Coturnix japonica: one gene and its partners. The protein of the gene in region 1 interacts with the protein of each later gene in a biochemical or structural test. Links are inferred from orthologs where the notes say so. Each region holds a gene or a part of one and is shown in the gene's direction. Other genes may lie near its edges.

Region 1 (4,256 bases):
GCGAACGAGCAAACAAAAAACCCTTCCAAGAAGCAGACTGCGTTGTGTTCATTTCTTGCTCGGCGGCCACGTCTATCCGTCACTCAGCCTGTCACTCAAACCCGCGGTGGGCGGGACTTGCGCTCAGCCGCACCAATAAGAAGCCGCTGATCTGCATAAAGCCAAGAGCGGCACGGCCGGGCTGCAGTGTGTTACTACGGCGGCCCGTAGCGCGGAGCGGCTGCGATGTGTGTGGAGCAGCCTTGACCCGCTCGGATGGCGGCCTGGCGCTCGGGGCCCACTCACCCTTACCTAGGGGCAGCTCTGTGCCTTGTGCCCCCCCGCGCTAAGAGGATTGAGGCAGTGATTTCAGCTCTTTTAGTATTTGTCCAGCAGGTTTCCCGCCCCGCGGGAAGCCCCACAGTGCAGTGCAATGATAGGGAGGCGCTTGGTGTGTGGGAGGTGCCTTGTGGTGAGGGGCAGCGTTAGGCCTCATGGCGGCCTCCGCACAGGCCGCACCGCCGGCCCTTAGCGCCGAGCAGGCCAAGGGTGAGCGGGGCTGTGTGTGGGCTGGGGTTGTGTGTGGGTGCTGGCTGCCGTTGTGCTTGTTGTGATGATGTGTGTGACCGCAGTGGTGCTGGCCGAGGTGATCAAGGCCTTCGGGGCGCCTGAGAACGTGCAGCGCATGGACGAGGCCCGGGAGAACGCGTGTAACGACATGGGCAAGATGCTGCAGTTCCTGCTGCCCGTGGCCACGCAGATCCAGCAGGACGTGATCAAGGCCTACGGCTTCAGCAGCGACGGCGAAGGTGGGCGGGCCCGGCGGAATCGGGGCAGGGCTCGTTCCGCCCGGCTCCGGCTTCATTCCCTCCCTCCCTACCTCCTCCCTCCCTTCGTAGGGGTGCTGAAGTTCGCCCGGCTGATCAAATCCTACGAGTCGCAGGACCCGGAGATCGCCAGCATGTCGGGCAAGCTGAAGGCTCTGTTCCTGCCCCCCATGACGCTGCCGCCGCACGGGGCTGCTATCGGCGGGGTGGCCGCCTCGTGATGCCGGTGATCCCCGGGGCTCCGTCCTGAGCCTTCCCCTATGGCTGGGGCTGTTTGTGCTGCTGCTCAGCCGGCCACGGGAAACGGAGCAGTTAAACGAGGAAAATAACGGCGTGAGATGAACTGGCCCCTTTGTGCATGTTTCTGTTTTTGCCTGTGAATAAAAGACGTCTTGAAAGTGCCCTCGTTGAATTATGAATGGACGTAAGCTGGTGCTGCTATGCAGGTATAGGTCCTTCCTGATGCAGGGCAGATGTCTTTGCAAGAACAAGTATTTACAGATGTGTTGTTTGAAACGTATCAGGCAACATGTTCCCCAAAACAACACTGTCCCTGAGATGTTGTCCAGTGTTTAAATGCAGCTAAGGCAGCGCTGCTAATTCATACACTTCCCCATATGCTCCTACAATGAGCTTCTGTGCCTGTATTCTGGTTTCCTGTCTAAATGTGTGGTCAGACTTGTCGGACATTGTTATAAGAGTGGCAACATGGTGTAGCAAGGACTGGGAATAATTCACAAATGTCTCATTTTAGCCTTCTGGTATGTGTGCCTGTCGCCCATGGAGGTACTGGGATCTTTGGGAAGGATTGAGAGCCAAGAAGGGCTCCCAGCCACCACGGGCTGAGAGAACAAGCTAGAGCTGTGAGGGCTGTGTTGGGTTTTGCCTTCTGCACCTTGGTTACAAACCAGGTAGGAATGTAGCCGGTGAGGGTGTGAGCAGAGTGGATAGGAAATAGGAAGAGCAGTCCATCCCTTCCGTTTCTACCTACCTCTGCCAGCCTGGCCTTTCCCCACCCCTTTACTTATTTATTAACTACAACCCAGGAAGTGTTTTGCAAATGGTGCAAACCAAGCCCTCTGCCTGGGGCCTGCTTTTTGCCTAGCCTGGAGCTACCACCTTTACTCTGCCCAGAAACAAACAGAGCTCAGTCAGGATCCTGCCTGCGTGGATCAGACACGGGTGAGTCACGGGACACACGACAGACCCAACAGCCACTCCTTCCTGCCATGATCACCCAGCCATGGCAGCGGAGCTCAAGTCCACCCCTGCTGCTTCCAACCTTGCTTTATTTCCTCCCGTAGGACCCCCTGGTTTAGGGGTGTTGTACTTCCTCCAACAGCTGCTGTTCATACCCCAGCAGTGGGGATCTGCGTGTCAAGATCCCGATGCCATCCTGTGGGTGAGTGCTCTGTGTGTTAGATAAGGCAAGAAAACAGAGTTTTGTGTGTGTGTGTAACAAAGACACTGGCAGTAGGAATTGGGCACACATGGGAAAGATATGCCTTAAGCAAGGTGCTGGAGGACTAGAGCTTTGGTGTTATTGCTGTTACCATTGCTCCTCCTTGCTTGGATAATGAGCGAGTAGTTTGTGATGCCCAACCCACTGCCATTATCCTGCAAGCTGTGGAGATGCAGCATTTCAAAATGTTTTTGGACAGAGGGTTGGCCTTTTGAATCTGAGCTATTTTCGATTGCTACAGTTTTATTTCTCCTTTATGGAAGAGCAGGGCATGCGGTCTTTACCATCAGTATAAATGGATGTTCTGTTGCAGTCTTTACCATCAGTATAAATGGGTGTTCTGTTTTGAGGACTGCAATGGTATGGAGTAAAGAAATGCAATTTGCACTAGCCTGAATAGAACCTCCTGGTCAGATGGTCACACAACCTTAGAGAGCATCTACTTTGGCAGGTTATAGGGTGATGGTCCATATGCCCATTCCCTAGGACCAGATGGCCTTCACTGCTATGTACTTCTGGGCAGAACCGTAAGACTGCCTGTCGCAGTGCTGAGAATTAGAAATGGCAATTAACTGGTTTTAGAAAGTTATTCAGGATAATAGGATGGAAGCTGACTCAACGATTGCAGGAGGACTTTATGATAGTGGAATAACAGGCAGTTGATCAGGAGCTGAAATTCAATATAGGCATATGTAAAATGATGTTCTTAGGATCATAGAATGGTTTGGGTTGGAAGGGATCTTAAAGATGATCTTGTTCTAGTCCTCTCTGTTGTGACTCCCATCATCTCTAAACCCCCCAGTCCCCATTTTAGATAGTCTCAGACTGCTGTTAAATTCCTTAGCAAGTGTCTTTTCTCCAGACTGAACAAACCTAGCTCTCATTTTCTGTGGTGAACCCAAGCTCCTCATTGTCCTGATGGCCCAGTTTCTCAGTGTCCTTTTTAACAGCAGTTCAGTGCCTTTTAAGTACTGTTAACTGTTTAAGAATATCACCAAGAGCTCCGTTCTGAGGTGGGATATGTATGAATGACAAGGAGTGTGGGGTGGTATGGATATCTAGGGCAATAGGGGCCCATGGTGTCTTGGAACTTCACCTCTGAACAGCTGTGGAATCCTGAACAACAGCACATCCTGGTGGTTGTTGGGATTCTAGAGAGACACAAGTCACTGCAGTGTGCTGAGGCCTGGCCAAAGCCTACTGAGCCTTTGTCAGTACTATTCAGCACACTTGAGGGTGAGAAAATACCTCCGAATCTGATGACAGTGCAATGAATGGTCCCTGCAACTCCTCCAACTCCTGTGACAGACCCTGTGACTGCTCCAACTCCTGATGTTACTCCAAGCACTGTGACAGGCCCTAGAATTGCTCCAGTCTTTGTGACGGACCCTGCGGTTGCTCTAACCCTTCTGATGGGCCCTGTGGTTGCCCCAGACTCTTACGAAAGGCCCTGTGGTCACTCCAATCCCTGTGACAAGCCCTGTAGCTCATTCACAGAACCAACCAGTGCCAACATCAATTATCCCTATACACAAGAGTTTAAAATGGCTGCAGAAAACAGCCAGCTTATTTAGCAAGGAGAGAAACTCCTGCTTAGACAGAAGGAGGTGAAGATGAAGCAGATGAAGCAGAGCCATAACAAGAATGAGAGGAGCAGCGGGAGAGAACTCATAAAGGAGGCGTAACATCTGACCCCTAACCTTGGGTGAGCTGCAAGATATGCAAAAAGATTTCAGCCTCCAGCCAGCTGGAGGAAAGGGACAATCCATTTTATTGGACTATGTGGACTTGACGGCCTGGCACATTAGTACCACGGGAGTGTAAGGCTCTAGTGGACACCAGTGCACAGTGTACCCTAATGTCATCAAGTCATAAAGGGGCAGAACCCACCTGTATTTCTGGAGGGACAGAGGGATGCCTTTTCATACTGTTTCTCACATTATCCTGTATCTGGACAAAATGTCTTCTATACAGCTAGACAAAACCAT
Region 2 (4,334 bases), on another chromosome or scaffold:
AATTCTTTTACAGAGCAAGGGGGAAATCTCCTTCCTTCCTATTATTATCATTATTATTATTGTTATTAATAGCAAAATTTATCGAACTTTTGTTCTCCATCTGCTCTGTGTCCTCCTCCTCCTTTCCTCTACCTGGCTCTGGAGACCATTTTTGGGAAGCAGCCAAACCACCAGTCTTTGTTGGCCATATATTTCAAACAGTCCAGAGTAAGCAGAACAAATACTATTGCTGGTTATCCAGCTTACTTCCTAGTCATTAACTGCTATGAATGCTGTGCACTCTGCATTCCCTTCCCCCTTGCAAAATAGCCCTGTAATAGCCATGTACTGGCTGATGAATAACTGAAAGGTTCTGAACAATGAATTTCTTTAAAGTTATAAAGTAAATATTATTTGGAAAAATTAAATTGTTGCTTAAATCTGCCATTTCTGCAGTGTCAGATTATTTAAGATTAAATGTACATTCACGGTGCCAAAGTAAGGACAGGACGGCATCTCTGCACATTTCTTGCTGTCCTTGTTCCACCCAGTTCTCTCACCCCCTCACCATCTGAACATCAAGAAACTGGCCATGGTTGTGATTTTTTGGATAATGATTACATTTCAGGTTTCTTCACAAATAAGTCTTCCACGGCGCAACTTGGCCTACTGATGTACTTGTCTTCAGGCTTTTTACTTTCCTTAGGCTTTCCTCTGTAATCAGGAAAAGACCCTTCCGTTTTGTTAAAGGAAGTTCAGTAATTCAGGTGTTCTGAATTGTACCTCATTTTATTTTGCTGTATCTCAGGCAGACACCGACAGAAATTGAGAGCCAAATGCTGAAGTGGGGTGTTTTCCTGAGGTCACGGTTCAATTTCTGCTTTTTTATTTAATTCTTTTTTTTCTTGCCAGTGCTGCTTCACATCTCTGCAGGGAAATGAAAGTTCAGCCTGTTCATTTATTCCGGGGTTAAACATTTCTAACTGTGTGTTTTGCCCAGTCCCAGCTACACAAAATAACAACTTGTGTGTGTTTGTGTTTTTGATGTGTGATGGTTGTAGAAGAGGTTTGTCTGTCAGTATTCTAATCTAATCCTAGAGAAGCTGTGGATTGTGAACTGATTTGAATTTACTGCCAACTCCACATTAAAACTGTGCCACAGCAAAGGTGACGGACATAGGTGTGGAGTGATAGGAGAAAAATGAATAACCCTGTACGTTTAGTCTCAGGGTAAAGAGAAACGTTTGCTAAACATCTGCTAAAGTCAAATAGTGAATATAATTTGTATTTTTAAATGGTTAATCGTGAGTTAAAAATATCCATATATGGACAGGAACTGCAGGATAAATGTCCCTGGAACTTCTTGTTTTTTTTGTTTTTTTTTTTTGTTAATACACCTTAAGAAATTAAACAAAGCGAATGCATTTGGTAGCGCCCTCAGGAAAAGTCCAGTCACTTCCTGAGCAGTAATCTGCCTGTGAGCAGCAGATAGATTCTCATTGTTTGCCATTTCCAGTAATGGGAACGATCACTTGACCTGGCCAGTTTCTGCTGAAGATTTGCAAAACCTTACAATTTTTAATGGAAAATTTTGATCTATTACCATAAAGCAAAATAAAGCAAATCTGATTTGGGAATCTGGTGGCGTCACCTCGGATGATGAATATTGCTTTATTTTGGAAATAAGTGTCTGTTCTCCAGGAACGAGATGTATCTTGCTCTTCTGGTGATTTTCTTGCAGTGTAAGTTTGATAACGTTTGTTTGTGGACATGTACCTGTTCTTCTGACTTGTCTGTGGCTTTGTTGTTGTGCTGGTGGTGTTATTTGTTATAGTTGTCTGTTGCTGTTGCTCTATCCATAAACTAAATAGAATATTTCTTTTTACTTCTTTCCAGGTTCAGAAATTTGCGCTCAGGAAAGAGGTAGGTAAATATAGTTTTCTCATGTACATATTTAAATGAGGTAATTTAACTAATTTATTGGTTATACATGTGCACACATGAGAGTTTGTTTGGTTTGCTGCACTACAGCTCTACAAAAGCAAATTAGCTATTGTGGATTTGGGTGGGGGGGTGGGGGGTGGAGGGGTTGTTGCTGTTGTCACTTTATTTTGTTGTTTGTAGTCAAAATATTGTATTCAGTATATTTTTTTCACAAACTGACAAGTTTAAATTCTAAATTAAATGGAGGCATTACTTCTGCCTGTGATTGTATTGAGATTACTTAATGAGTGTGATGTTAAGGACAGCCCACAGCGTCAAGATGGGCACATACGTGTTTGCTTGCATGCCCTGAAGCCAGATATATTCTACTATACTCCAGTTTTCCTAAACTAGGGGTTTAGGATTATCCCGAGTCAATGAAGTATGTGTTTAAATGGAAGCTGTTGAACAGCACAACCTTAATTTCAGAAAAAATACTGGAATAGATCCAGGGGCTCCAGTTATATGCTTAGGGATGGATTGACTTTGGATTTCATACGACTCTAAACAGGCTTACATTGTATTATTTCATTTACTCAAACAAGGATAGATGCACAATTTTGTTCAGATCTCCTAGCAATTGTAATTGGAGACAACAAGCCATCAGAAATAAGGAAAGCCAAGAAATTGCTGCAAGCCTATCCCAATACCCTCAGTGTCTCTTAAGGAATTTAGCAGTTCTGGCCAAATTGGATTAATTTTACTGGTTAAAATGTAGTAGCTTGAGGTGACAGTGCTATGTTGGATGATTTGAAAATAACTGTAACTCTTTTTATTTTCTCCATCAAGTTTTTACCTTCAATGCAGTTCATATCAAGGTTCAGCCATCTGCCAAAGTGAAGAATGGAGCTCCTATGTCAGTTATATGCCGTGCTGATATTAGCAAAAGTACCAATTTCAACTTGCAGCATAATATTACAATTTTTAAGGATGGCAAACTTGTGTTCATGAGTGTATCAGGAAAAGGAGATGCACGATATGAAGTACCCATGGCCAGATCTTCACATACAGGAGACTACCAATGTGCTGTGGAAGCAGATGGAAAGATAAGATACAGTGATTCCCTACATGTTTGGGTAACAGGTGAATATTCCTTCAAACATGGCAGTTTTCTAAGGTACAAAATGATAACAACCTCTGAGAGTAAATAGTTATAGTGCTAAATAGGATATCTTGCAAAGTACTTTTAATCTGTAGCTGTCATGGTGCTTTACAAGAGTTTCATGCTCAGTCTTCATGTAAAGGCACAGAAATGAAATGATAATATTGTGATAACCATCACCAAATCTGGAGTCACATGGGGGCTATTTTTTGGACAATGTTACATCCATCTTGTTTCTTTATCTTCTATGCAAACAGGCGCCACCAATGTTCACAGGAGTGCAGCATAAAAAAAATCCCAAACCTAGTTCTTTCCAACAATTTTTTTCTTCCTGCTGCCATAAATTGCTACCACAGTCATCAAAGACAAGAGTTTGATTTAGGATGATGCATTGATCTGTTTCTTGCTTTGTTTTCTGCTCGAAGGAATGACCAAACCAATTTTGATCGCTGAGAAAAAAGAAGTTTTTGAGGGCGAAGTCGTGAAATTACGGTGTGAGCTGCCAGAAGAAGTGCCTCCATTACATTTCATTTTCCGGAAGATAAAGATGAATTCAACACCTAAAGAAAAACTGAAATATGAACTACAGAGGAATTTTTCTGTTATAGAATTTCCCGTTGATGAAGGGGATAATATTTTACAATTTGACTGTTTGGGTAGGAGGAGTGTAAAGTTTGAATTTGAAACCTCAGAACCCAGCAACAGAACACTTATAACAGTCAAGGGTAAGCTTCTTAGTTTTTTAAATACTTTTGCTTGCCACAATTAATAAGTTGGATTGTGATTTTATGTATATATATTCTCTTGCAGAACCGTTTATAAAGCCAACTCTGCGCATCAAGCCCTCAAGTAACATTACAGAAGGAAAAGAAATACAATTTGAATGCTCTACTGTAGTAGCCAAAATGCGTGACATTGAAATCATACTTCTGAGGAATAAAACAATACTGAGCAGTGTACGAGATCAGACAACTTTGAAATATTCTACAGTGGCTACTCTAGAGGACAGCGGTGAATACCTCTGTAAGGTGGAAGAAGGGAAAGCATCTAAAACCACCACACGGAATGTTGTTGTGGCAGGTAACTCCTCTGTTCATCTTAGATGTTGCTCAGTGGAACAATATTTAATTTTGGTAGACTTGCAAAGGTAATGTCCAGATTCAAAAGAGAATTTTCCCTAATTGAAAGGCTGTTTACATTTGGGCTACCGATTTTTACCTGTTGCTAATAATTTCAATTAACACAAAGGAGATGTGGGTTCCAGGTTATT
Region 3 (3,827 bases), on another chromosome or scaffold:
CATTTAGAAAGTTCATTTTAAATGCAGGAAGCCCATGGTATCTATCATCAGAAAGAACAAAAGCAAAACCAGTTGGCAAGTTATAGTTATTGAATATATATATTGAATATCAGCCAAGAGGCGACTGAAGGTAAACTGAATACATGCCTTTATAGGTAAGGTATTTTTGCCCATTTCTTTTCAGGTTAGTATGACAGCTGTGGAAATATGGTTACAGATCTGGAGGTGTGTTTTAAATGACCTTTGCAGTAGAAATTAGGAAACTAAAACAGCAACAAAAGAAACTGATGTGGGAGCAGCGTTTTCAGTATTGAAGTTTTTGTTTGCTGACAAATTGTTACTTATGATATATGACTTTTATTTCCAGCTCCGATACCAAAACAAATCCTATGGCTATTCAAAGAGAGAGGATCTTGGTTACTTAAGCACAGCGCTATTGCAACTCAAATCCATAGGGTGATTTAAGAAAAAATAATAATACAGGTGGCTGTGAATGAGTAAGGAGGCAAAGACAGTGACACAGTGCTATTCAGTGCTGTACTTCTGTGTGAAATTGATGTTCTAAGTTAGGGAACATCTGTGTTTTTCCCCTTAAAATAACAGAGCATCAGCTATTCATTTTCCCTTTTGATTTGATAAGAGTGCAAGACACATTCTTTCATTTTTGCATCCATTTGCCTTCCCACTACCTATCCGTCTTAGACCTTTGTCTTGTGCCTCCAATCTATCATGCTCCTTCTTATGCCAATAAAAACGAGGGAAGGCGCTCTTGTCAATTAACACAAAGTGCTGTTCCTCCGTTTGCTGTAGCTCGTTAAATGGCAGACCGGGCACAATTTTACAGGCCCTGGTAATGAAGAAGAGACTCCAATCTAGAACCAGGCCGCAGTACTGAGCTGTAGGAAACTGGGAAGCAATCTGAGTACCTCAACCTCAAATATTAAGTCTCTTTTTCTCTGTCTAGGGGTCACTATCTGGGAACTTATGACCTTTGGTGGAAAGCCATATGATGGGATCCCAACTCGAGAGATCCCAGACCTGCTGGAGAAGGGAGAGCGGTTGCCCCAGCCTCCAATCTGCACTATTGATGTTTATATGGTGATGGTGAAATGTAAGTAGTTGGAGCTTTTCCAGTCTCTGCGTTCAGTGTGAGAGGAATCCTTTTTTAGAATATTTGCATGCGTAGTCTCTGACAATGCCTGGTAATAGAGCAGGCAGTTTCAAAACAAAAGCTTCCCGAGATACTGTAAATTCCATTTAAAATACTGTATGTGCATTTTTTTTGCAATTGCAAGATACGGATTTAGCCCTGAAGGAGTTGAGTTAGCTTCTTATTACTGTCAGATGGTATCTCATATTCTTTCTGTGAAGTCAAAATTGTATCATTGTTATTGTAAACCCTTGTCATTTCCATGACAATTGATTTTGATGTTAGAAAAGATAGTATTAAACATAATTATGGTACATGGATACTCAGCTAGTGAAGTTTGCAAGGAAAAATGCTGGTTCCAGATACTGAGGAAAGAAAGCAAGAATGTTTTATTGTTAGTAAAAGGATTGGTGATTGCAGTAGTAATAATAAAAATTAGAATTAATGTAAGAAATTACACTGAAAGGAGGTTTATCATTCTTAGTCCAGTATAATAATTTATGGATATCTGTAATTGGGCAGAAAAGGAAAACAGCTTGCGCTTGGTTTCTTCCTACCCTTTTTATCTCCAAGATACCAACACTAGTGACTGTATTCTCCAAGGCTGTGTTTCCAATTTAAAAAGAATTAAGGACATCTCTCTGGTGTTTCTGACTTAATTTAAGTGAGATTAACATGTAGCCAGCTCATCTGTCTTCTATGAACCTTCCCCTTTTGCCTTGTACACAAAAACACTGAAAGAAAGAAGGTAACACCAGCAGAGGTAAATACTCCTCTTCTGAGTACAGTTAGACTTGACAGCAGCCAGCAGTTCATGAAGCTCACAGTGCAGACATACTGTGCAATCCAGGGTTTTGCATTTGGAACGTACAGAATTCCATCTTCTCCTTCCCCAGCCATTTGTTGAAGTACTGAGCCCTTTGCTGATTATCTATGGTGGAAAATTTGACCGCATCTAGAGTACAAGTTGGTTTGTTTTTTGATGCATGTTGACATTTAAGACAATAAAGATCCATCCTATTGAGAACTACAGCCAGATAGCTGTGGTAGGGATATAGAGAAGGATTTGCTTTTTAACATCAGCTTTGCATTACTGCTACATACTGATATGAGAACAGCTGACATTTGATTGTCTCATGCGCTACCTAGAGAAGAGTTGTTGGTAGTGGTTAATAGATGAGTTCTCCTTTATACTCTGTTCCTACACTGAAGGCAGTTCTGTGAGTCTTAATAAAGAAGCTAGATATTTAAATCAAGCTTGGTGACTTCAGGGAGGATCCTAACTCACTAGTAGTTTTCTATTATTTATGAATAAATATTGCAGAAGCACATGTACAACCATTAGGAGTCTTCATAAGTTCAGGTAGATTTAGGAAATAGAGGTGAAAGCTGCTCGAACTATCACAGACCTTTTAACATAAATGCATGCAGGTGGGAATATCACCTGAACGGTACGAGGGGTTTAGATCAGTCACATGCAAAAATACTCAAGTTGATAGTATTTCTATGAGTGCTGCAAGGCAATTCTCAGTGAGAGGAAGCAATCCTAGGAGTCTGACTGTTCTGGAAAGTCACATCTAGATGTATGGATTTAGTCCTGTAATGCTTGAGTGGAGTTCTTTGTAAGTTGTATTAGCTTTGTTGGATTTTTTTATTTTTATTTTTTGCTTTGGTCACTTCTTCCATTAAAGGCTATGAAGGAGATAAGTGCTGCTTCGTTCTGCCTCCCTGGCAAATGAGAACAAGCTCTTGGGAAGCTGCTGATAGAATCTTCCATTAGAAAAAGCTGACACTGAGATAAACTAGTTGCTGGTGGTGACTGCCTGTGCCACTTGCTTGTTTTTACAGAAAGCACTGGAAAGGATTGAGAATTGTTTCTAATGAACGTTTCTGGGAGAATGAAGGCCCAAAGAGTTGCCCTTGAACAATTAAAATGGCATCCGATGCCTCATGTGGGGTCTGTGTTAATGATGCAGATACACGAATGCAAAAATTACTCCTGAAAGGTGGGATGGGAGGTCAGTCATCCTGTTGGGCAGCAATTTGTAACGTAAGCTACTGTGGAACAGTAGTTCTGTTAGAGAAAAAAAATGTGCTTAGTAGTAACTTTGTAATAAACCCACTAGGCTGAGGTGAGATCCAGGATTAATTAGAAGTTGGACAGATTCGTAATAAAAAAACAGTCAGAGTTGACAACTAAATGGGTAAGGCAAATCCAGAAATTGGCAGAGCAAAGTGAGAAATCTTTGCAGTGTAGAACATTTGGTCTCCTCTGGCCAGTTAAACGTATTCTCCTTTTAGAGTTCCACCTTTCCCTTCTTCCTGGGCTCCTTATCGTGTTTTTTCTCTAGGCCAAGTACATCGTTTCTCTTCTAAGTTGTTCAGTTTTTAAAAATTCCTGCTTTGTCAGCAGCCACTTATGTTCTTGTTTTTGCTCTGTCCCCAGGCTGGATGATTGATGCAGACAGTCGGCCTAAATTCAAGGAGCTGGCTGCTGAATTTTCTAGAATGGCTCGAGACCCCCAGAGGTACCTGGTAATTCAGGTGAGCAACTCTGCAATGTGAAGTGGGAAGGAGGGAAGAATTCTGCCTGACTATTAAGGTGTTTGAACCTCTTAATTTCAGGGTGCTCTTGAAGTTGAAACAAATGTAGTGACTGACTGATAGTGTGCGCTGT
Region 4 (4,499 bases), on another chromosome or scaffold:
CTGCACAGGAGATGGTGGAGGGAGCTGGAAGGGGCAAAGCAAGAAAATATGCATTAAGATAGGAACATGAGAAGGGGGAAGATCCTATCATCTCCTCCATGAGGTGAGTGGCTACATTGATACGATCTTCCCCCTTCCCTCACTTGTTCCTATCTCAATGCACGTTTTCTTGCTTTGCACCTTCCAGTTCTCTCAACCATCTGCTCACCTCCATAAGATGAGTGATACTCAGCTGGTCTGTGAGCAGGAAAACAGCACTAGCCCCTGCCCTTTTCCATCTATCCCCACGCTGATTCTTGCTGTGGTACAGAGCTGGTTCCATCAGTGTCCCCTTCCATCTTGTCCATTACTTGCTTACTTGGCGAGGACTGGGGCAGAGTGCAAAACACAGGAAACCTCACCACTGAGCAGCAGTGCCCAGCAGCAAAGAAAATGCATTACTCATACGCTATTACTCAAAATCCCAGATAGGCACCATATCAGCTGCTGCGGAAAGTTAACTCTACCCTTACCAGGTCAAGTACTCTTGCTCACATATAATTAAAAGTCATGAAACATTTTTTTTTTTTTTCACCAATTTAAGAAGAAACTTCTGCTTAAAATCTTGTTCATAGCACAGTAATGACTTTCCAAAAGCCATTTCCTGTAGACTGTGCCTTTGGATGGTGTTAGGAAAGACTTATGCCATCAAAGGCCCTCCAAGAATCAAGTTTTCTTAACACACAGGTAGTGCCAATTCAGAAATGTATCTGCACTTTGGCAATCAGACCAAAAGAAAGGCCCTTTTCAACCGGTATGAAACATGAGGCTTTTGCCCTTTGGCAGCTCTGTTTAGTATAATGGATGTGGAAGGAGAGCCAGTGCTTCCTTGCAGCACCTCTTTCTTATACAATAAGCAGGCCCACTCACTGCAGCAATCACTTAATACAAGGGAGCAGGAAACAGACCTCGCCTCACGTTAGTGCTGCTCATCATGGCACACAACACCACCATGCAGTGGCCATGCCTGAAGGAGAAGCATGGCTGCAGGTGCACCTGAGGTGCCATTCAATGCCAGTGGCAGCGCATCCTGGAGAAGCTTGTTGCCGTCTGTTGCATGTGCAGACATCTGTAGTGGAATTGACTCCCTCGTACATGGAGCCTTAGGGACGGGGTCCTCTTCAGCTCTCTTCCACACCAGGTGTTGTCTCTTCCATACTAGCAGCGGCTACAAAATGAGTAAATACCATATGCAGCACAAAGATCCTATGTTGTTTCAAATACAAACCGTTTTTGCTCCTCCAGAAGCAATTTTCTCACCAAAACACAAAAGTACCAAAATACATTACATTTCAATGCTGACAATCAGCGGGTCTATTCATTTTCTCCCAAGAGACGACCACTCTTGCGTCCCTCTGCTTTCCCACGTTCACCTCACACCATCGGGCACCACAACACGCACGTCGGGGCGCCGCGGGTCGCACACCGCACACCCTCATGGACAAACGTTCTGACAGGCCGGGGGCCGGAATCGCCCGAGGGAGGGAGCAGGGGGCCGACAGTTCGTTGAGGAAGTGGCCTCGGCTGAGAGAGAAAACGAGGAAGCGGCGGCTCTCGCAACGCATAACTCGGGCACAGCTCTCGGCTGAGCCGCGCCGCTCGGCTCGCTCCCAGGAGGAGCCGGTGGGCGGCAGTAGGCGGCGAGCGGAGGAGCCGCCGTAGCGGTGAGTGGAGGCCACGCCGGGCCGGGGGGATGCTGGCAACAACGAGCGGGGTGGGCCGGGGTCTGCCAGCCGCCTTTTTTCTCCGGGGTTTACCCGGAGAGCGGCGAGTAAATGTGCCAATCTGCTGAGGCAAGCTGGAACGTTCCGTCCTTCTGTAGTAACATCGGTAGCCTGGCATTTGAGGAACTAGAATATGGAACTTAAATACAGAAAATATATAGATTTAGTCATGTTTTGAATGTGTTGCGGAGTAGTTTTTAACAGCGTAAAATTTACACTAAAGTAACTGTTCAGCTTCTGAATGGTGCATAGTATATAAAAGATTTGGCACCTGGGAAAATGGCTTTAAAAAGAGCTTCTTTCTTATAAAAAATCTGGATTTTGTTTCTGTCAGAATAATCACAGAGCATTGCTAGAAGTGCTGAATGTTGGTACTAAGGGTGCAATGGTTGACTTGCTGCTGATCATTTCAGTATTGGGCAGTATTTTCTTCTGTAGCTCTGTACTATGTGCAGTTTGTGCTGGAGTTCATTGGGTGTGGGTGTAGTAATGCCACCCTGGGAAGAGATGGATGCTGCTTTTGTTGGGTGACGCCGACCCCACCAGAGGTGATTGAGACACAATTTGGCCAGAATGCATGGAATATTACAGAGTAATTCCATTTCAAAACAAAACAATTCCATCTAAGGGAATGAACTCCTTGTAACTTCTTTTGATGTTCTTTTCAGTTGGGCTTCTTTTATATTCTTTTTATCCAAAGACATTTAGAATTCTCAATTCTTTGGGCTGAATCTGCAGCTTAATCCACAGGCACAGCTGTCTGGTTCAAGTGACTATCAGTCTTTTAAGCTCGGTGCTACTACAGGCTCAGAGGCCATGAGCTGAAGCAGAGCAGAACACGTTGAGGCAGCCCAGTTAGAGGAACTGTGTTGTTTTTTCATCCCTCTGTTGAACATTCAGTGATAGAGACAAATAAGGAAGTTTGAATGCTCTTTATTTCTGACAGTTTTCCTGTGGGGGAGAAATGTTATAGTTTGGCAAAGACTTTGAACTAAAAGGTTTGGAATCACCGAATGTGCCCCAAAATGTAAGTAATTGCTTCAGATTTCAAATGTACATGAAATAACTGCAAAACCCCATGATAAACTGTTGAAGTGTTCTTGGTTTTCTGCCTTTAGAAAGTATTAAGTCCATAAGATCAGCAGTGAACAGTGCTACTTGTCCATTTTGAAAGAAGAGCAGAATTAGATCTGAAGTTGCAGGAAGACAAAACCAGAAGTTCAATTTTAGTAGGAGCTAGCAGGTTACGCTGGAAACTAAACTGCATTTTAGAGCACTGATGGTAAAACCAGAAGCTGGATTTAAGCACCCTAATAACAAAAAATATAACATAGACATGTTACCATACACTTTTATCTTTGTGTGTGGGTGTGTGTGTATGTTATGACAGAGACATGAGGAGCAGAAGTCACTACTGAAATATATGTTGTGTTCAGAGTTCATGGGATTGCAATCAAAGTTTGTTTTTTTATAATCAGTTTTGATTCATTTTACTTTCTTTATGCTTTTTCATTACTCAATATTTAGCAAAAAACAAAAAACAAAAAAAAAAAAAACAAAAAAAAAAAACCCTAAAAACCAACCAAACAAACAAAAAAACCCTACAAAGCCCACAGTAAATTGGCTGACATTCCTAGTGAGAATACTGTGACTGTCAGCAATTGTGTTTGTGTCTGTATTTATGGCAGAAAGGTACTAGATGGTGATGTCCATTTTTCAGCTTTATGGACTCTTCGATCAGTGGTTCAATACCTGTTTTGTGCACACCAGTTACATGTTTAGCTCCAGGATAAAATGGCCGAAAAGGGGAACATGTATGATTTTGTATTGTAATTATAAGGAATTCAGTGTGTATCTTTGCATGTGAGTAACAATTACAGAAAGATCATTCCAGTCAGCTATTTAAAATTGTTTATTTTGCATTTAAAGATGAGGTGTACTTGTGTGATCTTCTGCATCGGGGTGAACATACTTGTGCCACTAAGACTGTGCACGACTTCAGTCTGAGCACAGTGTTCTCTTTAAAAGCTCAAGATAATCTTGTGAACATGAGAAATGTAGTTCAGTCATAAGAGTGAAAACTTATCACACTGCAAGCATTTGCAGGATCATCTTAACTTCTAATTTGGAGAAAATACCATTTTATTGTAGGGAAACAGTTTTGTGTTGCTTTATCTTTACATTCCAAAACCAAAATTAGTTCAGAATTTCCTGTCTCTGTGTGCACAATGACTAAGTGACCACTGCTTTAAATGAGTTTGTTGAAAGGAAAGAAAGGGAAAAATATTTTGAGACCAATTGAGCTTCAGTTTTCATCTTATAAGTTCTCGTAGGTATCTGCCACCTCTCTGTACCAGGTAACAGAACAACTTCAAATGTAGGAAATATTCTTAAATAGCCAGAATGCAGAAATGTAATAGAGTATTATTTTGTGTGGTTTCACTATCACTTGGTTTGTAACTAGCTGATGGTGGTATGTATTAATTTGAACAGAGAGGACTACCCTGCCTTTCCTCTTGCTTTGTCCCAGTTTGCTCTGGAACATTGTTCCTCAAAAGAAGTATGGAGTGCTAAGTGTCCTGAATATGTCCAGCAACTTTTCTACCTACCTTCCAAAATGCAAGGAGATGATGCTAGGAATCTTTTAGAGCTGATTCTCAGTAGAGGTAAACTCAGAAGTGCTAAAAGCTTTTACAAAAAAGTAGGACTAAGGTACTGGATGTAAATTCAGCCTTG
Region 5 (4,361 bases), on another chromosome or scaffold:
TCTTCAGACTTACGGTTTTTGCAAGCACTGACAAAGCTTCTTCAACCAGGCTGAGCTGGATTAGCAAAGAGCCACTCTTTAAGCAATCAGACTGACCTTGTTTATTTTGGCTGGAGCTAAGGAGTTTCTTCTTGAGCAGCTTTGCTGGTGGGTTAGAGAAGGGCAGCAGCTGTCTGGAGTGGAGAGGTGGCAAAATGTTGAGGGAGTGGCTCCCTTCCCTCCACCGGTATAGCTGGAAGCCTAAAGTCTTACTGTTCACAAGCAGTTCCCTTGGGCAGTAGTGAGAAAGCCCCTCAGGGCTTTCCAGGGAAAATGGAAGAAAAGGAAGGATCCTGTTCTACAAAGTCTTTTCTTCTGCAGGCCGTGTGCTTGGCAATATCCTCTGATCCCTCCAGCTTGGATTATCCCTTACTCCTGCCTCAGTGCTGTTGGCTCCTTTCATCCACCACACTTGAGTGCAGCAGCACACAGAACTGTGCTGTGACCTGCATCAGAGACAATAACTTTGGGTTAATGCTGACCAGTTTGTTTCTTTTTTTGCTGGGTTAGCGTTAACCAGATTCTCAACCTAGGTCATTGCATGAATACATGATCATTTTCTTGGCAAATGAGTTGGGTGTGGGAAGTTGGAGAGTATGATGAGAAAGGAAGTTGGAGAGAGGTGGAAAGGTTTGAGTATGAGGGGATAATCACGTCAGTGGGATGTGACAGTTCAAACTGGTCTTTAAAATGCTACATTACTTTTGTGCTTGCATATACACGCACACAAAACCACACAAAACACATGTACAGAAATAACACAGTATCTATTTATACATACAAATACATAGGCTGGATTGATTTCTTATTCCAGTTCACAGTTACTTTGTGGATAGCTCTGCTAGCACAGTAGAGGTGCGCACAGGCTGGAAGATGCAAGTATCTCAAGCCTGAATTCCCACTGACTTCTTTAATGCTGGTGTCTAACTTGATATAGGGCACTTTACCTCTCTCTAAATCAGATATATGATTTATCTATTCACTTCTATTTTCCTCCATAATATGGGCATAAATATATTGAATAGAATTAATTAATGTTTTTATACTGACTGATATGACCTGTAGTGTCCTAACAAAGTTACTCATGAACATGAACAAATGCACTTAGCTGTAGGGATCTGAAAATACATAGTAGTAGTAGAAGTTAAGATTTCTCCATCTTTCCATTTCCGTGTTGTTTGCAGCACCTGACTGAAAGCATTGTGCTTAGTTTCCTCTTGACGTTAATGATATTTGTGTAAGGAGATACGCTGACTTTCATTGGTCACCCCTTTTGTTTCAGCGGTTTAATAAGAAACTGTGAAATAGATGTTGTGCAATTTCAAGGCAACTGCTCCAGGAAGCAGAAAGGTCGTACAAGGAATGGATTGTAAACAAAGAATTAAAGATATTTAATAAATTATAAAGTAGAAATTTCACAGTGGTGTCTCTGCCACCTGGACTTGAAAGAATTTGTATGGCCAAGACAAGGAAGGAATCAGGCTGCCAGATGAAACTGCTCACGTTATGAGGAACGCTTGCCTGCTGCTGAATAGATTTTGTACTTTTTACTTCATTTGGATTTCTGCTGCATATTGTTCTTTCTTAAAAAACTGTCCAGAACTATGTACGAGTAACCTGGTAAGTTCTGAAAAACTCTACTTAATCTTTTGAAACGCATCTGGTTTTTAGCACTGTAAGAATTTTCAGTTACCTATTAAGTTTTTAATTTTTAATAGTATATTTGAGTAAAAGCAGAGTATGAGAACTAATATTTTACAACTGAACTTGTAAAACCTGGTAAAGAAAATATCCCATTAGCCAGATTGCATGAGTTTTCATTTTATGCTTTTGTTTCAGCAGATCCCAAGATTACTATAAATTCCAAAGACCCTGAAGTGTGGAGGAGAGAAACATTTTTTGTTCAGTTTATTCACTTTACTTAATGGTTTCTGTCTAGTCTGTGATTTTTCTTATGTAACACTAGAAAAACTGTAAACACCCAGTTGCTTCCACAGTTATCCTGAATTTGTTTCATTTTCCTTTTTGAACCTCTTAAATAATAGGTAAATTTTTAAGAAGTTAAGCAAGTGGCTAGGTCCTCTCAGTATTCCTTTGAGTCGAGGGGAATTTAGTACTTTTCCTTCTACTGATGCGCAACAAAGATAAGCAGAAGCTCACAAATCCAAACAATAATTCTACCTCAGGCTCTCAGGAGTCACCTACTTGTTTCTATTTGCTTGAAACACTGATGTGCTTAGAAGACCATGTACCTTTGCTGTATAAAAAGTACATTTTGTGCCTCTGGGCTAATTGGCTGTGTAAACCTACTGCAGGAGGCTATTACCTGCTCCATTTTGTTTCATACATTTGCCTGATGGTTCCTTTAGAATTACTTCTTAACTCTAGCACCAATGAAAGAGTTAATTATTTTCCCTGATGGGAACCTAGCATGCAATGATAACTTTAATGGAGATCCTTTGATTTAAGCTTAAATTAGCTCAGAATAAGAAATGAGTTGCTCTTCCTATCAGCTTTGAAAGACAGGAAAATCGCATTCATGCTCGTGTTCGGTGAATATATTGTGTTAGGGATTCAGATGAGTCTGCCAGCTGTAGATCTTACTTTTCTTCTTTGGTCTACTTGTTGTGTTCACATTTACGTTGTGACAGCTTTGCGTGGGTCTGGGGTTCTACTTACTGTCACGTTACCTGTGTTCCAGTGTGCTGAGAATCTCTACCTGAGGGTTGTTTTGTTAAGAATGATCTTACTTGCTCACAGGACCAAATCTAAGATCTAGCATTCAGCTTTTCAAAGGCTCTTAGATATACTCCCACATCATTTGTACTTCACAACAGGTGACTGGTTTTGCACACTTGGAGTGACATGGAAATATAGGCTTTGGCTTTTCTGGCCAAAGAAGAAGGCTAGTAACCATTTGGCTGCACAAAGACTGTCAAAAAGAGGCCAGACAGAAGCCAATTAGCTTGAATGAAGGTCTTTCTGCTCTCCAGAGGTCAAAGACACTTGCCTTTGTCATTTATGCCCTATTTACTTATGAAGCAGTTGTTACTGACTCAGTGAACCAGAATGAGGGGGTGAGGGCCAAATTCATACCTGAGATAATAAATTTGTGCTATTTGATTCTGCCAAATCTTCTTTTTTTCAGTGCCCTGAAATTGGTCTCAAATGGGAAGCTACCTGTGTGTCAGCAATGCACCTATTCATATGACTAAATCATGAGTCAAAGAAATTTTGTTTTACAAGAAACCAGTGTTTTATTTTAATAAAATAATTGGGGGGGGGGGGGGGGGGGGGGGGGGGGGGGGGGGGGGGGGGGAGGGCAGGGAGAGGGGTAGGAAGAGAGGGGGTGGAAACACATCTTGACTCTGTAAAAATGTATGTATTTTTTCCTCTTGTAGGAAGGAGAACTTGGAATTGCTAACCTTTGTAATGTTAGTGACATCAATGTGGCAGTGAGTAATGGTTTGCTTTATTAATTACTGACAGTTTGCATTACTGCTATTTGAATAACATGGGTACAATGACCATATTGTCAAAGACCAGATGTAAATAATATATGTACCTACAGGGGCAATTATCATTCTTTTTGCTTAAAGAAAACTTGATGTGTAGAGTCTGACTCAGTGGGTTTAGATTTTGTCTACAAAATTCATAATCACACTGATTCATAACCAGTCATTCTTTAGAAAATGGGGGAAAAACAGTGTTATCCCTAGAATATAAATCATTACAAACTTTAGCTTTGTACAGTTCAGTTTTGCTTATTTTGCTTTCTCAGTGGTTTAATGGGAGAAAACCTAAAACAATCGATTGAGATTTAGAGTTAGGTATGAGTTCAAAGGTTTGTACTGATATCAGGAGACTCTTTAGCTTAACATGTACCTTCTGTAGCAGAATTCTTGTAAGCCAGCATTCTTCTACTTCCAACTTCAAACACAAGTCAAGCTGGTAGTTATATATATATATTCTTAGAAGAACTATGGACAATTCAGTCATCAATATTTTCTGCAGAGACTAGTGAGAAGGTGCCTCTCAGCACCTGGTATCTAGCAAGGCTGGATCTTTTATGATACTGGAACCATAAAAGGCTGTGTTGTCATGACAGTACATAGCACAGTTGACTATTTGCTCGTTGTTATCAAGTCTTGCTTTTTTTTTTTTTCATGAGGCTTTGTAGTACATGATGTCAGAGGCTCCTGCTTCTAAAGTCATCCCCTTTCCTCTTCCCTTTAAAAAGAAAAATGCACACAGCTATTAAGAGGTGGATGGGACAGATTAAACAAGACAAGTCCAACGCCAAGTTCAGATAATGCTACATA
Region 6 (3,827 bases), on another chromosome or scaffold:
TTGTGCATATAGTGACTGTGGAGGAAGGGGGACAAAAAGAAAAGTTGCCACAAGATGCACTTAATTTCAACTCTGTGACCATAGGCTTAAAAGAGGCTGACTCCTGAAATAGCATCCGCTTTTCTCATGCAAAGTAATACAAATGTAAGATGATTATTTAAAGCACTGCTCTAGTGCCTGACGTCTACCACACCCCAAATTTCTAAGGCTTGCTGAGCTTAACATTGATATTGAAATTTGATCCAAAAATACAGGTTCTTCTCCATGTGAAGAAGTCCAACATCCAGCTGCATAGTTACAAGCCATTCCTTTTTCTTTATGCTACAGTGTAGCTTTGCAGTAAGAAGAGAAATTAAGTATTCTTACCACATAGTAAACGATAAATCCAAATCATAACATTTCATTTAATGGTGGTAAAATGGGAGGAAAGCAGCTAAGAAAGTGACTGCCAGGTTTCAAGGAGTATTTTTAAAACTACTTCTGTGGTTCTTTTAAACAGCATTCTGAGTAAACTAAGTCAAGATATAAACCGAAATGAAGGAAGGATCTCTTTCTTCTCAAAATGGTAAGTGAAAAACTCTGATTTCTTTTCAAAAGTTATCAGTCAAATCTTTCCTGGACTGTTATTGGTTTGATCCACAACACCTGTGTGTCAGAGGGATCACCTGCGAAGTATATAAAATAAAACTGTGTTGTTAATGCTGTCTGTTAAAAATAGGAGTGTTTGAGCTCATGAACAACCTGGATCCCTCTGTCATGTCTGAAACCAATAAAGATACAAATTTCATGCAATTTTCTAACTGAGTAAATTACTCTTTCAGAATGCTATAAAATATGGACACATTATATTAATGAGTCAAAATTAATGGAATTTACAGACCTGTACATCATTACACTTCAAAATGCATCACAATTTACTGACAAATATATTATATGTTAAGTTCTATTCCAAGGACTGATGTTCCCGATAGATTTACTCACTGAGTTTCACTTAGTTTCATACACACCACCTCACTGACTTGGCCTTGTATTCAGGACAGTTGAGCTGACATTTGGTGACTGTATGTGAAATATAAAGTAGTGTGTTTATGGTATTTTGTGTGAAGTTGAACTAATTAAAACAAATTTCATTTTACTTTACAATCTAAACGTTAGCTTTGTTAGCAATTCAGTGTACTAGGTTTAGTGCATTACATTTTAGTGCACATAAAACGTTTAAAAATTGCAATTGGAAGGAATTTATTTGTTTATATCTTTGTTACAGGGGCCAAACACAAAAGTGTCCTGAAAACTCAGGTAAGTGCGTACTGACAGTCTCTAAGCACAAATAGTGTGTAAAAACATTAAACCAGTAGGTTCTTCTTTGTAGAGTACGATAAGCGAGACAAGGCAAAGCAAAAAAAAGCATAAAAGAAAAATTGAAGAAATAGCAAAAAGTTGCACACTTCAGCAACAATTGTACTAATGAGAGAATGCTCCCCCAGGTCTACTGACATTAAAATGACTTTAGATTTAATTGCCATAGCAATTTTTAAGAGATACAAAGGCTGTGCTTATTCTGAGAGCATTCTACTTCAAATGATTTTTAAAGCATGAAGAACAGGACAAACTAGATGAGACACTGTATAATCTCACATAAGGAAAGTTTTACTCTTAGTTTCAAACAATAATGTTATTTGTAGAACCTTGCATGAGCTACTTGCGGATGCCAGTCTGCCTGCCTTTGACAGGCCTACATTGTTGCTGCTATAGTAGGAACTGTGGCATTGTGGTTCAGAATGAATTTGGGATGGTTTTTTGTCCTTTTATTTCAAATAATGTCTTGACATTTTCAAATTTTACTGTGCTTAAACTTCTTTATGCAGGATACGGTCAAGAAGATGATGGCTGGTCTTCATTTGTAAGTATGAGGACTAACATAACATACTGGTCCAACAGTAGACTGACTCAACTTTTCTGTAATCTCTATTATTTCTTGCATTACCTACTTTAGACAGTATGGATGGATCAGTCAGTAGCACGGGGTGTTAGGCTAAGGAAAAAGAGAAGCCTGAATGATTGGAGTAGCTGCATGCAAATTTCACTGAGGAATGGGCTTTTGCCCAGTAATACGAGGCAGTGCTTTGCAACAGCAGATTTGTACCACTGATTCAAGTACAAGCTCACAAATTATGACTAGCTAAAGTTTATATTCCTATTTCAAGCTCTTGAAAGCAATCGTTAGAAAATGGAAGGTTACTGTGTTATTCAAGGGCAAAATCCTGCTATTTTGTTCTCTATAAAGTTTACTTTTTGAAAAATCCAATCAATTTCTCAAAGCCAGACAGACTGCAAAGGATGCTTTCTGTCTTTCAGCATACTAAATGCACTGGTAAACTTCATTAGACGAAGCAAACAACCCCAATGTCTAAGAATACTTCTTCTGTAAGTCAAGGCAGACAGCACAGAAGATGTGTGCAATGACCGCTACCATGCTTACACTGCAATCTTGTTAGGGCCCAATAAGATACTAGTGGTATATGTCTGGTTTTGTTCTGGTCAGAGTATCCAGACCTGTATCACAAACCTCTTTTATTTTTTTTTTCAGAATTGTTTCTAAAGTCCGAATTCAGTCTGTAGAATACTGCAAAAAAGTAACCTGTTATAGCACTCATCTTTTATATATGTTGGTCAGGATGATCAGGATGAAGATGACGACTATGAAAGCCCTGATGATGACCAGGAAAAGGAAGACGAGGCTGACTATGAATCACCAACGGAAGAAACTGAGGAAGCAGAACATGACAGTGATGGCTATGAGCCACCTCCATCCAGTAATGATGAAGCACACCACAATGTCATATTTCCTGCCAAGTCACTTGCGAACAGCACAGACTATATAGGTAATTACTAGAAAAAAATAAAAAAAGTAATGTTTTCACATTATCATTTACATTTACGTGGCTGCTAACGGGATATAGAAGGCTTTATCTCAAAGCAGCACAGATGCTGCAAGTTCATATCTTTATACCTTTTAAAGCTAAATCTTCTACTTCAGACAAGCTCTGTTGGATTAAAGATAAGTTTCATGTGATGTGTGCACAATCTGGCTCTTGGTTTGGAGCCTGCATAAAGTTTAAGAAAAATTTACATACTATTTTAGCTTTAGCAGTTGTTCCTTGATCAGAATGAGTTACCAGGCAGGTACAGTCCCACCATCAAGGGGACAGATGAGCATCTAGCTCCCAAAGGAACACTAAATCATACACTATCATAAAGCAACAGCCCATTAAACACTAACATAATATCTGTATGATACATCAGATCAAGTATGCAACATCTCTTCATAAAGATCTAATGAGAATAAAATAACAAAACCGTTTTCATAGTTGTTGAGCTTGGGATTTTTCTTTTCTTTAGACAGGCCTCCAACAGCCAGATCATCACATCAGCCTCCACTACCACCCCAGCGGCCTGGCCCAAGCCCATCACCAGCCTCATTTGGGGGAAGAGGTGCTTCTGTATGTTTCTCTCTTGATATTTCAGAGCAAATGAAATACTTCACCTATTTACTTTGACAGTACCTAGGAGGAATCCAAGTGTAATAAATAAATTGTTATTCAATTATTATGTGTAGAGGAATAAGAAAGTTTTTAAGGTGTCAAAATAGTTGAACTCTTATAGAGTGTGGGTTTTTTTCCATGGAACAATACAATTTGATGGGTCAGATATTAAACTCTTTCACAGTCTTTGTTTCTTATAAGTTCTCATTAGTTGTGTCCTAGATTGCTGCACTATTTGTTGACCCAGCTCTCACAATAAGAACAGTCCTTCAGAACATCCCTATA
Region 7 (3,827 bases), on another chromosome or scaffold:
GGATGGTCAGCCTCTCGCTGCTGTGCTGGAGCACAGGGACGGGGTCTTCGTCAGCAACCTCACCCTCAGGAACGTGACAGGCCGTCACACAGGGGAGTATGCGTGTCTCTACAGCCCCGACCAGGCTCCAGAGCGAGCAGAGAGGAAAGCTCTCTACATCTATGTTCCAGGTAAGGGACAGCACATCCTTGTCTCTATGTGGAAAGGCCCACGTGTGGCACGCTGGAGCAAGCAGTGGGAGAGGTCGTGGTGTAATGAGTGTACCCCTCTCTCTTATAGATCCCTCCTTAGTTTTTCTCCCTGCAATCACTTCCGAAGAGTTCTTCATCTTCATCACGGGCTACACAGAGGCCACCATCCCATGCCGCGTGACCAACCCAGAGCTGCAGGTGACCCTTTATGAAAAGAAAGTGGAGAATCCCATTCCAGCTGTTTATGACCCACAACAGGGCTTCAAAGGCTTCTTTGAGGACAAGACCTACTATTGCCAAGCAATCGTGGATGACCAAGAGGTGGATTCAGACACCTTCTATGTCTACAGGATCCAGGGTGAGCTGCCCTCATCTTGGCTTATTTCTGTAGCTGTTGTGGCCATTCTTTCAAAACAATAGGGATGGGATAGAAAAGCTTTCCTCCTGTCCCTGTGATATCCCTGATCAATTTAAGGGCTGGATTTAACCCTGTCTCTGTTAAAGAACAGGTCCTGCCAAAGTGGCAGATCTATACCTCATAGAAGAGATTTCAAGTGAATAAGTCCACCTAAGATAAATGGACTGGGTGTCTGCTCATCTCTTCCTTTATTAATCATCCCTTCCTTTGACACTTCTAACAGTCTCATCCGTGAACGTCTCCATCAGTGCAGTGCAGACCATAGTGCGTCAGGGAGAAAATGTCACCCTGATGTGCACTGTCAGCGGCAATGAGCTGGTCAACTTCAACTGGGATTATCCCCGCAAGCAGGTGAGTGCACCAACCCCAGCCTTTGCCCATGTGTCCCATGGCAGTCACTCGTCAGTATCATAGCAATGTTCAGGAAGCTTCATGTCATGGCAGATGTAAGATGTTGCTGCCATTCAAGAAGGCTCAGTGGGGAGATTCTTGTGTGAAGGCTGGCTGTCTCAGGGGCTTTTGATGCATGTTCCTTGTCCCCATTGTAGACAGACCAAGGTCTGCCCACTTCTCCTCCCTCCCCGTGAGCCTGGCTCTGTCCTCCATTGGCATGAAATGCTCTTGACTTCACACACAGTATCTCTTGTCCCCATTGTGCAGGCAGGGAAGGCTGTGGAGCCAGTGACCGACTTCCTGCCAGGATCCAGCCATGACATCCGTTCCATCCTCGTCATCCAGAACGCAGAGCTGGAGGACAGTGGGACCTACGTCTGCAATGTCTCTGAGGGCTACCATGAGAAAACAGACCGGAAAGACATCACGGTCCAAGTGATCGGTGCGTCACTGACCGTGCTCTCAAAGGCAGCAACCCACATGGGTGTTGCTCCAGAATGGCAAACTCCTCTCTCTGCACAGCCTTCAGCTCCCTCCCCTTCTCACCCCACCCTCATTAACCATGGCAAAAAGTCAGCCCTCACCCCATAGCATCCCTGCCGACTTCTTGGCTTTGACACATCCAAACTCCCCCATCTGAGATTTTGGGACTCTAATATATTTGAGGGTTTGTGTGAGAGCTCTTTTGCACTGTGCAGTGCCAATGTGTTCTTAAGTCAACCTCCCACCTACACCTGTGCTCCTTTGCGGGAAGCTGCCCATCTCTGAAAGGTGACAGCCCATTCCCTGCATGTTATCTGGCCTCTGAGCACGCCCCCATGCTCCCCTTGGGCATGGACCTGAGACCTAAAGGGATGAACCTGGAGCTGCTCCATCACTTCAGGGTGTTTGATCCCAGACCCATGGTAGCTCATAGGGATGGAGAGGTGACTGTGTCTCTCCCTGAAGCCTGTATCCTTCTTGCCTCTTCTCAGAGCGTGGCTTTGTGCACTTCCACACCCACCTGGCCAGCACGGTGTATGCTGAGGTCCACAAGAGCCACATCATCCAGGTGGATGTGGAGGCCTACCCACAGCCAAACATTGTGTGGCTGAAGAACAACAAGACGTTGACCATGGAGAGCAGCAGCGAGTTCACCATCACCAACAGGAACCTGTCAGAAACCAGGTGAGGGCACATCACTCCTAACCAGAGGACAGGGAGGGAATAATTCACAACACAAAGTGGTTGGGCACAGGATGGTGGTTGGACACGGGATGGTGGCTGAATGCTGACCTTCCTGTGAGTGGATTCTGTGCATTCCTCAGTTGTGTGGGAGCTGGTCCCTTCCAAGCAGTGTCAGCTACATGGTACCTTCCTGCATGCACTCTATGGCTGTGTCTTCTCCAGGTACCAGACATCTCTGGTTCTGGTGCGTGTGAAGCAGGAGGAAGGAGGATATTACACCATCCGAGCTTCAAATGAGGACGATGCACAAGAGCTGTCCTTCCATCTGCAGATAAATGGTGAGGATGTGCATGCAGACACGGGGCCAAGGATTGTGGGGGTAGTCCCAGGGGGTGGCTCCATCCTTTGCTCCAGGATTCTCAGCCTGAAGCCTTTACACCTATGACTACAGATCAGGGGGGGTTTTGGCCAAAAGAAGAGCATTAAAGTGAGGACAAAGATTGCCTGAAATATCTCACACCTGGTCTTATAGCCAGGGAAACAAGGAGGCAGGGCAGATACCAGCCTTCAAGTGTTGGCCCAAGGATGCAGATGCATCTGCAGATGCAGAGGTGTCCTTATGTAGTTCCTCTGCTATACAAGCAGAATAGATAGGGTCATCTGTGGTCTTCCATGATCACCTCAGCCCTTTCTGGTTTTGCTTTTAGTTTCAAAAATAAGGCACGTTTCCTCTAAGTCTTACTTCACTGTCACATCAACCCTGTGTCACAGTGAGGATCTAGGAGAACTTCCTTCCTTCCCCATCTGCATTCAACACTGAGGATTAATTCCCACCAATGTGTCTTGGTTTCAGTGCCAGCCAAAGTGGTGAATCTCAAGGAAAACAGCAGTGCCAGCAGTGGGGAGCAGACTGTAACATGCTCTGCTGAAGGGATGCCCCAGCCAGAGATCAGTTGGTCCACGTGCAGCAACATCAAATGGTGAGCAGAGAGATGGAGCCCATAGGAATGACAGGGCTCATGCATTTTTAGAAACAATAGACACTTTATTTTACTGTGTTCTGCTGGCCCACGCAGTTGGAAATCCCATGGTGCTACGTGGGTCTGGCTGCACCTTAGGTGCCTTTATCCTCCTCTGGTCCAGGTGTGGCAACCAGGGGCAGCCCACCCAGCTGCTGGGGAACAACTCTGCGGAGATTGGCCTGCACACCAACGCCACGTACCATGCAGAGCTGCAGGTGTTCCGTGTGAACAGCACCCTGCAGCTGCACAGGGTGGATGAACCCCTGCTCCTGAGGTGCACCGTGCAAAACTCCCTGGGCACCACTTTCCAAGACATCACTTTGGTTCCAAATGGTGAGCACTGCAGGAGGTGTTCAAGTCGGAGGTGGGGAGATGGACTTTCCTCTCTGTGCCTCCAGCCTGGAGGTGCTGGGAGCCAGCAGTGTCCTCTGATAGCTGCAGTCCTCAGGCAGAGAGCCTGGATATTTCTGCCCGAAAGGAAGCCTCCTTTGTGTTGAGTGGGAAAGGCTGCTCTGAGAGCAATCTGTAGCCTTCGTGCCCACTGGCCATGGCCATTTTGCTCCCACTCCCGAGCAGGGCTATCCCTCCAGGGACTTAAGAACTGATCAGGTCCCCTAGTGTCTTGTTATTAGCCCG

Evidence for each region.
Region 2: the proteins of PTPN6 (region 1) and PECAM1 form a complex in vitro, tested with the Homo sapiens proteins (2 studies listed by BioGRID, with this or other methods). The link is inferred for Coturnix japonica from reciprocal best matches to the Homo sapiens genes PTPN6 and PECAM1.
Region 3: the proteins of PTPN6 (region 1) and ERBB4 form a complex in vitro, tested with the Homo sapiens proteins (2 studies listed by BioGRID, with this or other methods). The link is inferred for Coturnix japonica from reciprocal best matches to the Homo sapiens genes PTPN6 and ERBB4.
Region 4: of the proteins of PTPN6 (region 1) and SYK, one has a biochemical effect on the other in vitro, tested with the Homo sapiens proteins (2 studies listed by BioGRID). The link is inferred for Coturnix japonica from reciprocal best matches to the Homo sapiens genes PTPN6 and SYK.
Region 5: of the proteins of PTPN6 (region 1) and ROS1, one has a biochemical effect on the other in vitro, tested with the Homo sapiens proteins (2 studies listed by BioGRID and IntAct). The link is inferred for Coturnix japonica from reciprocal best matches to the Homo sapiens genes PTPN6 and ROS1.
Region 6: the proteins of PTPN6 (region 1) and LCP2 form a complex in vitro, tested with the Homo sapiens proteins (2 studies listed by BioGRID). The link is inferred for Coturnix japonica from reciprocal best matches to the Homo sapiens genes PTPN6 and LCP2.
Region 7: the proteins of PTPN6 (region 1) and PDGFRB form a complex in vitro, tested with the Homo sapiens proteins (2 studies listed by BioGRID and IntAct, with this or other methods). The link is inferred for Coturnix japonica from reciprocal best matches to the Homo sapiens genes PTPN6 and PDGFRB.

The regions. Positions count from the first base shown.
Region 1 is NC_029516.1:69,598,403-69,602,658, forward strand, and holds the start of PTPN6 (tyrosine-protein phosphatase non-receptor type 6), read left to right. Parts: upstream 1-1,325; 5' UTR 1,326-1,988; intron 1,989-2,110; 5' UTR 2,111-2,194; coding exon 2,195-2,208; intron 2,209-4,256. Other genes in the region: C1H12orf57 (protein C10), read left to right, coding at 474-528, 612-788, 879-1,027. UniProt on the Homo sapiens protein: Tyrosine phosphatase enzyme that plays important roles in controlling immune signaling pathways and fundamental physiological processes such as hematopoiesis.
Region 2 is NC_029533.1:7,271,673-7,276,006, forward strand, and holds the start of PECAM1 (platelet endothelial cell adhesion molecule), read left to right. Parts: upstream 1-1,403; 5' UTR 1,404-1,687; coding exon 1,688-1,721; intron 1,722-1,875; coding exon 1,876-1,902; intron 1,903-2,751; coding exon 2,752-3,045; intron 3,046-3,489; coding exon 3,490-3,789; intron 3,790-3,874; coding exon 3,875-4,144; intron 4,145-4,334. UniProt on the Homo sapiens protein: Cell adhesion molecule which is required for leukocyte transendothelial migration (TEM) under most inflammatory conditions.
Region 3 is NC_029522.1:7,052,756-7,056,582, reverse strand, and holds part of ERBB4 (receptor tyrosine-protein kinase erbB-4), read left to right. Parts: intron 1-964; coding exon 965-1,111; intron 1,112-3,596; coding exon 3,597-3,694; intron 3,695-3,827. UniProt on the Homo sapiens protein: Tyrosine-protein kinase that plays an essential role as cell surface receptor for neuregulins and EGF family members and regulates development of the heart, the central nervous system and the mammary gland, gene transcription, cell proliferation, differentiation, migration and apoptosis.
Region 4 is NC_029547.1:39,246,777-39,251,275, forward strand, and holds the start of SYK (tyrosine-protein kinase SYK), read left to right. Parts: upstream 1-1,409; 5' UTR 1,410-1,703; intron 1,704-1,746; exon of another isoform or gene 1,747-2,790; intron 2,791-4,499. UniProt on the Homo sapiens protein: Non-receptor tyrosine kinase which mediates signal transduction downstream of a variety of transmembrane receptors including classical immunoreceptors like the B-cell receptor (BCR).
Region 5 is NC_029518.1:57,715,349-57,719,709, forward strand, and holds the start of ROS1 (proto-oncogene tyrosine-protein kinase ROS), read left to right. Parts: upstream 1-1,356; 5' UTR 1,357-1,545; coding exon 1,546-1,659; intron 1,660-3,440; coding exon 3,441-3,494; intron 3,495-4,361. UniProt on the Homo sapiens protein: Receptor tyrosine kinase (RTK) that plays a role in epithelial cell differentiation and regionalization of the proximal epididymal epithelium. NELL2 is an endogenous ligand for ROS1.
Region 6 is NC_029528.1:13,164,889-13,168,715, reverse strand, and holds part of LCP2 (lymphocyte cytosolic protein 2), read left to right. Parts: intron 1-499; coding exon 500-565; intron 566-1,264; coding exon 1,265-1,296; intron 1,297-1,865; coding exon 1,866-1,900; intron 1,901-2,674; coding exon 2,675-2,882; intron 2,883-3,399; coding exon 3,400-3,500; intron 3,501-3,827. UniProt on the Homo sapiens protein: Adapter protein primarily involved in signaling pathways within T-cells, as well as other immune cells such as platelets, mast cells, and natural killer (NK) cells.
Region 7 is NC_029528.1:4,811,911-4,815,737, reverse strand, and holds part of PDGFRB (platelet-derived growth factor receptor beta), read left to right. Parts: coding exon 1-170; intron 171-279; coding exon 280-549; intron 550-832; coding exon 833-960; intron 961-1,269; coding exon 1,270-1,444; intron 1,445-1,976; coding exon 1,977-2,169; intron 2,170-2,391; coding exon 2,392-2,507; intron 2,508-3,022; coding exon 3,023-3,149; intron 3,150-3,312; coding exon 3,313-3,524; intron 3,525-3,827. UniProt on the Homo sapiens protein: Tyrosine-protein kinase that acts as a cell-surface receptor for homodimeric PDGFB and PDGFD and for heterodimers formed by PDGFA and PDGFB, and plays an essential role in the regulation of embryonic development, cell proliferation, survival, differentiation, chemotaxis and migration.